Linked DNA regions of Neodiprion lecontei. The protein of the gene in region 2 binds, or shares a complex with, the protein of the main gene of each other region. Links are inferred from orthologs where the notes say so. Each region holds a gene or a part of one and is shown on either strand. Other genes may lie near its edges.

What was found. Proteins that work in one complex are often made in the same cells at the same time.
Region 1: dynein regulatory complex subunit 3 (region 2) and dynein regulatory complex subunit 4 share a complex: the UniProt entries of both Homo sapiens proteins name them as parts of the nexin-dynein regulatory complex. The link is inferred for Neodiprion lecontei from reciprocal best matches to the Homo sapiens genes DRC3 and DRC4.

The regions. Positions count from the first base shown.
Region 1 is NC_060265.1:27,418,691-27,425,290, forward strand, and holds dynein regulatory complex subunit 4, read right to left. Parts: upstream 4,738-6,600; 5' UTR 4,423-4,737; coding exon 4,420-4,422; intron 4,336-4,419; coding exon 4,118-4,335; intron 4,050-4,117; coding exon 3,788-4,049; intron 3,694-3,787; coding exon 3,433-3,693; intron 3,332-3,432; coding exon 3,164-3,331; intron 3,078-3,163; coding exon 2,991-3,077; intron 2,904-2,990; coding exon 2,694-2,903; intron 2,623-2,693; coding exon 2,407-2,622; 3' UTR 525-2,406; downstream 1-524. Other genes in the region: pantothenate kinase 3, read right to left, coding at 6,511-6,564. UniProt on the Homo sapiens protein: Component of the nexin-dynein regulatory complex (N-DRC), a key regulator of ciliary/flagellar motility which maintains the alignment and integrity of the distal axoneme and regulates microtubule sliding in motile axonemes.
Region 2 is NC_060263.1:21,534,869-21,541,506, forward strand, and holds dynein regulatory complex subunit 3, read left to right. Parts: upstream 1-1,636; 5' UTR 1,637-1,736; intron 1,737-1,755; exon of another isoform or gene 1,756-2,258; intron 2,259-2,347; 5' UTR 2,348-2,362; coding exon 2,363-2,540; intron 2,541-2,761; coding exon 2,762-3,045; intron 3,046-3,278; coding exon 3,279-3,451; intron 3,452-3,683; coding exon 3,684-3,841; intron 3,842-4,289; coding exon 4,290-4,482; intron 4,483-4,732; coding exon 4,733-4,940; intron 4,941-5,222; coding exon 5,223-5,477; intron 5,478-5,643; coding exon 5,644-5,720; intron 5,721-5,888; coding exon 5,889-6,036; 3' UTR 6,037-6,109; downstream 6,110-6,638. Other genes in the region: TOM1-like protein 2, read right to left, coding at 399-568, 1,323-1,380; enoyl-CoA delta isomerase 1, mitochondrial, read right to left, coding at 6,327-6,487. UniProt on the Homo sapiens protein: Component of the nexin-dynein regulatory complex (N-DRC) a key regulator of ciliary/flagellar motility which maintains the alignment and integrity of the distal axoneme and regulates microtubule sliding in motile axonemes.

The sequences.
Region 1 (6,600 bases), on a different chromosome or scaffold from region 2:
AAGCCTTTTCAATACCAGACCAATATAGCATTTAATGTCCTCTCTGTACAACAATCATGGAAGTATATTCATTGGCGTAGTACAGTCAATAGGTAGCTAAATTTCTAGTGAAGGTAATTCATGTTCAAAAATATATAATATATACATATATATGTATATACACACATATTAATACACATAAAATAGATGTAAGGGGTATGCATAAACAGGGCTTAATTTTAAAAAATGGTACCCTGATGACACAATTTTGTGAACCAGTTAACAAAATTTCGAACCTTTCTACGAAAACAAAGAAATTATTTGATTTTTTTTTTATTCCTCCTGTTAAAAATCAAAGTAACCTGAATTAAAAATATTTTTTGTTAGAAAAAAAAATTGAAAGCAAAATATATAACAAAGGATCAATGGACCATAATATATTTAATATTAAACATATAATTATTTTTTCTACATTAGGATTTACGTGAAAATAGTTGAACGAAAAATATGGAAGCCCTGTGAGTAAAAACTTTTTATTCTTTTTCCAGTAAAGTACCAAATGATTAGGATATTAATACCAAGATCCATGTAATTTGTACCCTGTAAGTTTCTGTTTTTAGCTTTTGCGTAGCTATTTTGAAGTTGTAATGTAGAACAAAATCCATAGCATTTCTATGTAGCTTTAGTATCGTAACATGTTGTACAAAACGAGTTGTTGGAAGCAGGCGTGAGGAATGAGACTATTATATATATTATATCTTATATATATTATATACACAGATAATTACTATGTATTTGCTACATGAAAGTATAAAAAGTGCGGGAAAAGAAAATCTATCACTCTATATTATCTTCTATTAAATATTATGGCATTTGTGATAGGTTGAAAAACGTATTTGCCAAAGTAAGTCAAATTATTATGGATAACATTTTGTAACGTACTGTGGTGCTTTAATTTAATCTTTTCTGCATGAAGGAGTTTCTTAGTTTTTAAGTCATGTTGTTTTCTTAGAGAAAGAAATTTTCAACCGTGAATCTTAATATTATAATCCCTATGATACGGAAAGTATGAAAGTCTGGAATTGGCGTGGAGTATTGAAAACTATATTACATTTGTAGGCAATTATTACTGGACTATGTCTGCTTTCAACATTCGGTACAATTCTATTCATCTACCACTCTCATGATGTACAATGATTTCATCTGTGATTCTATTTCTTATTGTGCCAAAATTATTACTATATATTATTATATAAAATTATATCTTTACAAATATAAAATAACAAAAATACGATATTTATGAAGAAATATATATATGTATATATATATATATATATATATATATTCGTAATGCAGGAAAACTATAAAACACATCTTTATTTTGAGATTCATCTGAAATCTGTAATATGTACCCTCATTAGTACATACATAAAATTGCAAAAGAGCTTGATAATTGTTTATTGTAACCATTGAGGCCTGTGAGAAAAAATATCGTACATACATTCAAATTTCAGAAAAGGAAGATCCAATTCTCAACTTATATACGCAGAGAAGTGTTTTATCTGTGTCCTGCCTTGATAAATGTTTCAAATTTAATAAACTGTGACCTGACGTATTTGACTTAAAATAATATTAAACTTAGAATAGTAAATGTCTAATACACAAACAAGACACACACACACACGCGCGCGCGCAAAAATATCTATACTAAAATTCAGCAAAAACCTAAACTACCAACCATGTACACGTCTATAGTGTATATTTGAAAGCGCATACATTGCCGTATTTGTACTCATACACGAATAGGTATGTATATGTATGGTAAAACCTTATAAAATTTGTGGCGCATGTTTGTTCCGACGAATCATAAGGCTTTAGTAATTCAAATCTTTCAATGTTATTGTTTATTTCTACCGACAGCATCAATTAAAAAAAACTCTTCTCGTTTTGCAGACATGAGGAAAACAATGGAAAATATATTGACAAAAATATGATTTTTTTAAAATTTAATGTATGCCTCATCATTTCAGGGGACATGTCACGTTAATCTTTATGACGCATACACACACGCATATACCTATATAAATATACATAAATATATATATATACATATTGTACATCCTCTGTGATAAATTTATCTAATATTTGAGGATAATAGATGTATCTGTTTCTGACGATCGTTTACCGTATTCTGGAATAAAAGTATTGTATGTGCATCGAAGGAAATTCAATTTTTCAACCCACATCTACAAAAATTTTTGTTCACATAGCCATTGATGGCAAATACATACTTATGCTCAGGGTAGTACTGATCGATATTTCAAGAAGGTTAATAGTATGGACGTTGACAACTGCGTGTTTTATATACGCTGATGTTTTATTTACACGACCTTGTACGAAAGTTTATATTATATACAGTCTAATGTCTCATCTATTATTAGACACAACTGAGGTAGAAACAAGACTCATTTTTGCACCTAAGACTTTGGTTCTGATGGGCTGAAAGCTGATCCCAGATTCTGGTATTCCATATTCCTGTAATTTGCTTTGGCACGTCACTAAAAGATCGTCATGTGCTTTGCAAACTCTTGCTAATTCCACTTGAAGATCTTGAATGGCTGTGTTTTTACGATTTAACAATTCCTGGTAGAATAAAATAGTTATTAAGTGATAATTGAAGTATTCAAATAACAGGGCAGAATAGTCACACTTACTTCCAGTTTCTGATTGACGCTCAAAATAGTCGCTGGATCTAACTGAGCAGCAGCTAACACTTCACTTATTTGGACCTCTCGCTGTTCCAGCAAGTCAGAAAGTTTCTGTAACTTTTTCTCGAGGAGGACGTTTTTCAGCCCAGTCTTTTGCTGAAGTTCTAAAATCGCTGAGACGAACCTGGAATGAAGTTCATCACGCTCACCTTGACACTACAAAAAACGAAAAATGTGCACAGTTAGTAAAATCCTATGAGATAGTTTCAGGTGATGCACTCGGATGCATATTTTGCTAGTCACCTTTTCGAATCGCAGCTCAAGCACTTCGTTCTCCCATTTCAGGTTTTCTAGTGACTTCACAGCTTCAGTCAATCGTTTCTTGGTGTTCTAATACAAACAAAAATACATAAATAAGTGAAAACAGTGAACTGCCATTGGATAATTGGCATTAATGAATAAACCCCAACACCCACTGCCAAACACGTTTTGTCCTTGGTGTAATTCAGAAGTTGTCGACTATATTCTGATACTTGTTCCTGAGCAATTTTCAGATCTGCCTGGAGTTTTTTGTTATCGATCGACAATTCTCGTACCTGCTTTTTCATTCGCTCTTCGTGATTTTTCATCACTTCCATTTGTTCCTAGCAGATTAAAATATAAGGATCAATTGACTTTCTCAAGAGTAAATGATGGGTGTATCACAGTACCGAATAAATCTGACTTCAGGTCATATCCCATTCACCTTCATGCTTCGAATTAGAGACAAGTTATTTAGTGTGATATCATTATAGTAATTCTTCATTTCAGCAAATGATCTTTCATGATTTTTTATCAAATCCGCAATTTGTTTGTTTTTCCTTTCCTCTACTTCAGTTATTTCCATTCGATGTTTCAATGTCAGCGATTCGTATTGATCGGCTAATTTATGCTCATACTTTTGCTCCAGTTCGATTGCTTCTGCCTCAAACTTCTTCATCATGTTACTCATTTCCTCTGCATTTGCCTATTAAGTGAGGGAAAGAACATAATCATATAATCTTATATTAATATGGGTGAAAGGTAAATTCTAATTTATAAAAGACTACGTTACTACGCACCAGTTTCAGTTCGCGTATTTCATCTACTTGTGCCATTTCTTGCTCTTTGCGCATTCTTTTGAGCTCCTTTTTATCTTTGATAAGTTCATTTTCTTGCAAAATGTGATCATCTTGAGCCATTTTGAGCGCAACCATATGCTCAGCCTTGGTTTCGGACAAATTACTTTGATGCTCATACATCAAGTGTTTCACTTTTTGCTTATACAACTTTAGTTCAGCTTCGTGCTTTTCAATTAATTCTTCTTTTTCACGTTCCTTATTTCTACGTAAATATCATTGCATAAGATTCTTGACAAAGAATTAGTAAGTATTATTCCGTTTTTACACTACCTAATAGTTGCACGAGCTTCATCTAGTTGGTGTCGTGTAATTTCCCAAAATGTTCTCAGCTTGTCACGCTCTAGCTGAAAGAAATTTCTTTCTTCGCGTTCCCTTTCCATTTCTTCCAAAATTTTATGCGAATAGACTTCCAGCTGCTCTCTATTCATTTTCGATGTATCTACACCTTCGACAGATTCCATTTTTTTCCCTCTTCCTTTCTTAGGACCCTATAAGAAAAAGTGATATTTTTTACTAATAAAATTGGCATTGACAGAAAACATATAAGTTGACGGATCATTTTTAAACCTTACCATTGTGCTAGTGAATTTTTACAAAGACGTTGACAATACTTTCTTTAGTTGTACTCCAATGTATAGTTTGCGATAAATTTTTCTTTAATGAGATAGTGTAGTACGTACACCTATTCAATTATTCAATCATTGAATACTGATGTAAAGTTATTCGAAAATTCAAAACTTTTGAAAGCAATGAAAATACCAAACTTCAGAATGTTGCCATACTGTTTGTCTATGGTTACCAAGCAACGTCAAGTATAGAAAGAATATATAGATAAAAACACCTGTTGCCTCCACTGGTTGCTTTTAAAATTGGAATCGACAATTTAGTATTAGCAAAGAATATCATTTGAATAAAGATGAACAAATTTGGAATAGATAGACAATAACTATACATGTTTTACAAATTGTCTATTAAAATTCTCTAGGGTTTACTTGTAAATAAGATTACAGATTACAGGTATACTCAATAATTTTTTTTCAATCAATTTGACTATAAACATAAATGAAACAGTTTCACAAATCATAACTCACAACAATGTCTATCTTATTGGCAGAACATGTAGTGACAACTGAAAATGATTTGAATAATGAACGATAATAGCGCGAACGGAGGATGCGAGATCTTTTACTTATTTTCCAAATGTACCAGCTGCAGCCCATAGTTATAGTTAAATAGATAAAATATGCTGTAATCCCTTTTCACATGATATCAGAAACTAAACGATCGTTTAAAAAAGAAGTAAGTAATTTACATCTATTTTAATAACTCGAAATTCGTTATGGTTGGTACTGACAATAATTTAATAAATTTCTCCGGTTCATTGATCAAAAAAGGTAAACAATCGATTCGTGACACTCGTATAAACATACAATTTATCTAAAGTCTTTCTCTGAGAAAGCGTAACACAATTTTGCTAATCTTATAGTTTGTTAGGCTTATTACTATCACGCATATATAGTGAAAATAAAATACAATAACGCGTCGAGATTTATCAACGACGTACATACGATACGTACATATTTCAACAGTGTAATAACAGATAATTAAGGCAGAGCAAGTATATCCCAGCTAGAGCCTCAAGCAATTCAATTCGCGTTACCTAAATATTGTCTTATATGGTGTAATGTAGGTGTAATGTAATGCATATTAAAATTCACCAACACGTATCCCGTTATATAAAACTATCAAAATGAAAAGAAAACAGTATTGAACTACTTTTGTATATAATATTATGCAAGAACGACTATTCCCAGACCTAATAAAATACGAGTTAGTATAAGATTGAATTTTTTAAAAATGTTCTACATAATCTGTACAATATCTTACGTATCAGTATTACGACAAAATTCATTATCAGTAAGTTACGATTTTTTGCAAGAATTATCAGTTCATAATTCAAGCTATATTTCCAGTTCTTCAAATATTGTACGAGAAACTCAGATATAGCATCGACAGCTTGCAAATATCATTCAACAACTTAAAAATAATATTAAGTAAGTTATTTTGTAAAATATTGTGATAAATAATTCTTCACTTTTCACGTACAGTTTGGTCCAACAACTGATTTTGTATTACTAAAACATTTGTGCCCTGAGCCTTGGACGTTCTATGATGGTTTTTTTTTTTTTTTTATCTCTTTTATGAATACATGTTGAAAATTTTATCCAATACGATTGTATAATATAAACTTGATACGTGTACAGAATGAACAAAGGAAAGCGCAGCCATTGATTCGAAACCACAGACTGTATTATTAATAATTATATGAAATCTGCTATTTTTGTGATAAGTCAACAATGGGCTGTGACTGCAAATCGAATAGCGTGGCACGTTTTTCTTTACTCAATTTGCGCATATATTATACATATATACATATTCGTGAACGTGTAGAGAGCCCTAAAATAAAGTAAGAACGATAACAAAAATAAATAATAGTAAAATACTGATTTCTGCTTACGGACTTTAGATTATTATTAAAAGGCTAAATTCGATAAATAGAAATCATCTACAAATCTTCGTTAACATGCGACCAGACGCAATAGTTATCAAGATTTGATCTTCATGGGAATGCTTCACGTAACGGCACGGACCGGAGGACATGATTAACTTGTATTGCCATTAAATTGTAATAAACAACCAACTGCTCCGAAGTATCCCTGTAATGACAATATATTCATATAAAATATGCATTA
Region 2 (6,638 bases):
TATTGCTGTTCAAAAATATTTCATCTTCTACCACATAGAATAAAATATAATGCTTAAAACCTATAGGGGTGAATAATAATTACGTGCATGTTGGTAATTATGTTCAAGCCAGTGGTCAAAATTAGCTGCTATGCATACTAATGTTAGTTGAAAAAGATCATCAAAGCAAAATGATGTGAAGGCTCAGAATTCAAAATTTCTTCAAATCTCTAGAAAGTTTAATACATTTACAGAATCATAAGTATTGAATTGTACTACAGAACTCCATTTGGAAAAAGTTGAGTATGTTGAGTGACTAACTGGAACCACTAGGTTCAGCTTCATGACATTGTGCTGTTAAGGGAAAGAAAACTCTGTTTTTGCCCATAGCAGACAAATTAGAAGGACCAAATACTAACAGTGAGAGTGTACATAACGATGGTATAGTTCTTTCCAGCTGCTTGATTCAATCGCCGTCGAATAGCTTTAACTGCATCCCGAGGTCCGTCTTCAGTTTCGTTAATGATATCGCATATTTCCATATTAAGTGCCCAATTCTCACTTGGCAGGCTTCCATCTGTAGCTTGTTCTGCAATTTTATATCACAATGTCTCAATTATTCCAGTACACGTTGAGTTACAGTAACAGCGCATAATTGGTTCAATTTGTAGACATCATTTATATTCCTACTGCCACGCAGGCTGCGACATGCGAGTAAAAAATTTCAGCGAGTGGATTTTTTTGCAGATTTTTTGAATTCACTGAGAATAAGTTTCATCTAAAAATAGAATATAAACCTGTTAACAAGATCTAGTTTCAAGTGAATTGGATTCTATGGCAAGTGCCCATTAACAGACAATGATACAAGGTAATTTAATTATATTTTCAAGGAAATATAATTACTAATATAATTGCACCATTATTCAGAGGAATATTATTGCAAAAATTGTGATAAGTTTCCATCAGTTCACACCTTTGAAGCAGCTCAGTAAGAAAATATAGACAATAATAATTTACGCTAATTAAACGTTCCGCTTATGCTCCTGATAATTGACTACATAATTAGTGCACCTCAATGTTCATTAGTAAATCTAAGGTAACCAGAGGAAGAAGGGAATATAAAAAATAAAGAAAGAAAGGAAAGCTAAGGAGTGCTACAACAATGTGGTGCAGAAAATAATCAATAAAACAAAACAACTAAAAAAAATCGCGACACGCCAAGACAATAGTATTGAACGTTTACGTAATAATGCAGTAAGTAACCAATTAGGCGAATGAATATATGGTCAAAACAACAATGGCATGGAAAAAGCTAGGCTTATACGACGAACTATGAATCTCACCTATTCTCTGACCAACTGGCGTCGAAAATGGATTCACAGGTACACCGAAAAAAGACATTTTTTGTTCCTTTTATACCGTATTTGGATGTTAGAACTTTGCACACTGCCTCTCGGCTTACTGCCGCATAAGTAAGTAGCCTGACGGTAAATTTATCGGCAAATTGTTGTCGGACAGTAACAGTTTATCAAATTTTCACTCTCCCGATGTGTCACGTAGAGATAATCATATGACACCGTGGTAATGGAGTACTGCGCCTAGACGTCAAATCATGTTTTCCCCGACCAATGGTACTCCATTTTCCGTGACGCAGCTGCACTGGCTTCGCTAAATGACCGCCTATTGGCTCAAAAATCAAAATGGCCGCCTCGATTGAATGCTTGCTACGCATATTCAAACGCCTCGGAAGACGAGGCGTAAGTAATGCCTATAGTCAACATCGTTCGGATAATGAGTGTAATGAACTGGGATTCGTCAATTGCGTCTATATTTATTACGACAATTTCTTATTTTTAATATACATTTTGCCTGAAAACTGAGGCGTGATGCCATATTTACGATCGGATTTTCAAATCGGAGCAAAGTTTGAAATTCAACAATCACGAATTTTTATAATCTCATTTTCAAAGTTTTCGAATTCGATCATGCGAAAAAAAATGCTTTATCATTAAAATCTAATTGCTTTTAATTCGATTTAGTCTTGAATGTGCATTTTGTAACGTGGCAAAAACAAAGAATCGATATAGTAATGTTCAATGAGTCATGTCATCAGGCTCATTGCGACGAAAGTATAAATATCTATATCGCTATGGAAACGGGAAACTATTTTGTTGATATGAATACCAAGCAAATGTGAATTCTAAGGTTAAATTTTACATCAGACCATCCCACATTTTGAACTAGCTGATACGTGAATTTTGAATGCTAAAATTATTCACGTGAGTTAACGTTTCGTACAACTGCATACACCAGTTTCTTCATCGTTGTATTTCATTTAAACATACAAAATACAACGAAGAGTTTTTAGAACGCAGTATAAATTATGAAGACTGAAGACAAACCGATAATATTGCAAGAATCCGCAGAACCTGGGGTGATAGACCAAAAAATGCTCGTGGCTTTAATAATTGACCAAGGGCCAAAAAAGGAAGCTGGAAGATTGTTCGTAGAGGATGGGATAAACCTGGAAGAAGTGACAGAAATTCGAATCGAATTTCTTAGTAAGAAACCTATGGATATTATGTGGGATCCAACACGGGCGCGGTAGGGTGTCGAAAAAAAATTAATAAACGTCGATGGTCTTACATCGAGTGTACGAATATGAAGACTCGGAAAACTTCGTGCTAGCTGTTAAATTGTTTTTTTTTTTTTTGTAATGTAGTGTCGAATCCTATTTCAGAACAAAATAGTTCCTTATACTCATTACTTTTATCTTTTTTAGATATTTTAAATATAGACCACCTATGGTTAATGCCAAACTTGGTGAAATTAAAACTGAGCAACAACAAAATTGAAAGGATTGTTAACTTGGATGTCCTGATTAATTTAAAAGAGCTTGATCTGTCGTTCAACCATATCGAAACTATGGAGAATTTGAACCATTTGAAATGTTTGGAAATTTTATTGCTGTATGAGAATCAAATTAGTCTTATTCAGGGAATCGACGATTTGAATGAACTTACAATTTTCAGTATTGGAAATAACAATATTGCCGATTGGCATCATGTAATTCATTATTCTTCTACATAAGTTCTAATTTCGCATCATGTGTGTTATTGTTATTATTGTTATTTTTTTTTAACTTAGTCAATTATCACCTAGAAATTCTTATACTTTTTCAATCATTGAATCAACCAATCTTAAATTATCGCACTGTAATTAAATTATTATTGATAGCTATATGTAGGGCTCCAATTTGCTTAAATTTCATGGTCAGCATAATTGCTAAATTTTTACAGGTCATGTATTTACGGAAATTCAAAAAATTACGGAGTTTAAATGTCTCTGGAAATTCGTGCATGGAAAAAGAAGGATATTTGAACTATTTGATTGCCTTTATACCACAATTAATCTATCTTCAGTACAAAATGATAACGGACCGAGAACGCCAGGCTGCCGCTGATGAACATTAGTAAATTTCATATTTCCCGTAAATCGACAGAGTTAGATTGATTTGTAAAAATCCACTCATGCTCATAATTTAGAGTATTTTTAATACCGCCAGATATTGCAGGCCATCATGGGATATAAATATTATAGTAAAAGAATTGCAGGAAGAAATTAATAATGCATTGTTCAAGTTTTATCCTAGATGCGTTTAAACAGAATTAATGATAATCAGTTTGTATACTTAAATGTTTTAGTCGAATCATTAGTAATTTGTTGGAAGAAGAAGCTAAAGAACAAGAAAAGTTGGACAAGCAAGCAGCATTTGAGGAAAATGTTGCATTATTATCCATATCTTACGTGGAATATCTCGATGACGACTACTTGTTCAATAAAATGTTTGAAAAAGACAAGGGTAATTATGAAAGAAAGAAAATTTTCTCTTTTAATTCTTTTTGCTTTTATCAACAATATCTTAAATATTATTCTCTTTATCTTAAGACATCAATACTTTCTATTTGGCATCAAACTACGCTTATTCGTCTGGGATACGATTTTTTTTTTCGTTAATCTAGCCCTACTGGAAAAGTTTGAGAGGATTTGTAAGATTCTAATAGAATATTATAGAATGGATTTCAGAAACACCATAGACTTATCACTGTGTATCGTGTTTGTGGCTCGTATTCTATGATATTCTTTAATATCTAATCGTGATCTATCAATGCCTATCAGGCTTTTCAAGCAGAAAAATATTCAATAAATAAAATTTCCGTCTTAAGTGTGAATTTTACCATAATATTTGAAAATTGAATGTCTGAAAATATGTAAAATTCACATTTTGATTCAGAAATACTTCATTACAGAAGGTAACGACTTCTTAACACTCAGCGAAGATGCACGATCTGCATATGCGGAGTATAAAGTAAAGTTCATGGAACTTTGCAAAGATTTGTATGAACTGGGGCTAGCTGAACAAATCCGAAGGTCCAACGAAATAAAAATGTTTGAAGATTTAGTCACTAAAGGTGAAGACGACATTCAGAAAGATTCCCAAATGTAAGTACCAGATATACCTTACATAATTCATATAATAATAATATGAATATAAAGTGTATAATCGCAAATGTCAATAATTAGTAAAAATAAATCACAGATTTCGTCAATTATTCATACTATTAAAACAATTTCACAATAAATGAGACTTTCATTAAATTACAAGTATAAATACACAAAAAAATGCTAATCATATTCTTCGGACAAATAAATTTATTAGCATTTCTTTCAATTGAAATTTTTTTGTATAAAGGATGATGGATGAAATAATGGATAGAAAGGCTGAAATCTTAGCAGACGTAAAAGCACTTATGCAATCAATGACTGAAGAGTTGGAGACTGAAGTTCTCGAAGAAAAATTAGACAAAGCTCGTCAGCTGTCCGAAGAATTCAGTGACTTGGTGGCTAGAACCTGGACAAAGCTCATGCACAAGGAAGTGATTCTTCATGACCAAATGGAAGTGTGTATCCATTTATTTATCACTGGTGTTGAATGAATTACTGGTATTCCTTTCAGCTATTCATATAGTTTCACACAAGGCAAAGTTAGTCATACATGATAAACATTTGATTTGGATTGCACAAGTAATCAGAGTTCTCCAAATACCTCCTATTGCTTAATAAAACTAATATTGACCGAGCAAATCAATTAGACACACTTGCGACGTTTGACCTGCAGCTTTTTATAAGTATTGATTGCAACAAATACTGATAATTATATATTAACAATGACATATCTGCAGGATATAAACGAAGTGTTCAAACAGCATATGACAGATATGGTTGGATCGTTCTTAGAAGCAGCCCAGAATATATTCTCATTAATGAGAAATCTGGAAGCCGAATATACCGACAACATTGCTGGAATAGCTAGTGTTGTTATGAATACAAGTCAGGCTACGGAAGATAGTAAAATGTCACCTAGTGTAACGGATATAATCGGTGATAAGGACATTTTGAATAACAATTTGGCAGCATCCCATGATCTACATCTCCAGGTATGCTTATATGCTTATTTGAGTGCACGAATAAATATTAAGCTATTTAAAATCAACAAATGTCGTTTTTCATCGCTTACGTTTTTCGAGCAGTTGCATAATGATCAAAACAACATGATAAATGACATGGGCTCTCATAAAATTCTTTTAAATTCTGCTTATTCAGATCATCGATGGGCGTGAAGATCGTCTAACAAGTCGACTTAATGGTTGGCTTGAAGGGAAGATTGAAAAATTGGCAGAGTAAGTAGCAGCATAACTATTGAGATAATTTAAACCACAAATATCCAAGATACACGAGATCTGTCTCGTTTTTAAAATAGACTGTAGACTGTAGAATTTGTGACCTATATTTTTCGAGTAGTAACCATATTAGTAAAGTCGAGGTGGTCTTCGTTTTTCTGTTTTAAGGAATGAAAGTAACCGGAACCGTCAGAAGATACTAGAAATTTCCCATTTTCTTGAGTGTCAACGGGAAGAATTTGATGCACTACAATTACAGCAGCCGTTATACGTGAACACTGACGATCCAGATATTGCTGCAGTACTTGAGCAATAAAACATAAAGCAACTGATTTCTTATAAAGCCAGTTTGTTTCATAATACTGTGAACAAAATGAATTAAATGTATAAACAATAAACGTTTTATCCATTCCTACTGTTTATTAGTACCTATTTCAAATATAACATACTCAAAAAAATTCACGGTAAATAAATTCATATCAAAATATTTTTATTTCTTATCTGCATTGTAAAGTAGAAAAATCTATTGTATTCGCCATATATCACAGCTCTGTCAGGTGGGGGCTGTTATGGCATGACGTATCGTTACTGTTAGCTTCAGCGGTTTCACTTCTTTTTTAAGCTCTGGATGTACATATCCAAACCCTTTTGTACCTGTGGTTGCTCTAAGAAGCCAATGAATATTTTCACATCAAAATCTCTATTTTTTTCAAGCCATGAGAGTGCTGACTTCCTTAACTGATGCTTCGTTGCGGACCTTGCACCAGCTGCAGAACAAAATTTGTATTAGAATATCTGTATTCTAAAATAATACAGTTAATATTATCACACAGAATACCGAGACTTAAAGATTTTCACATTGTATTTGATTTTGCAATGATATCTTCATAATGCATACATAATATATACATATGTTCT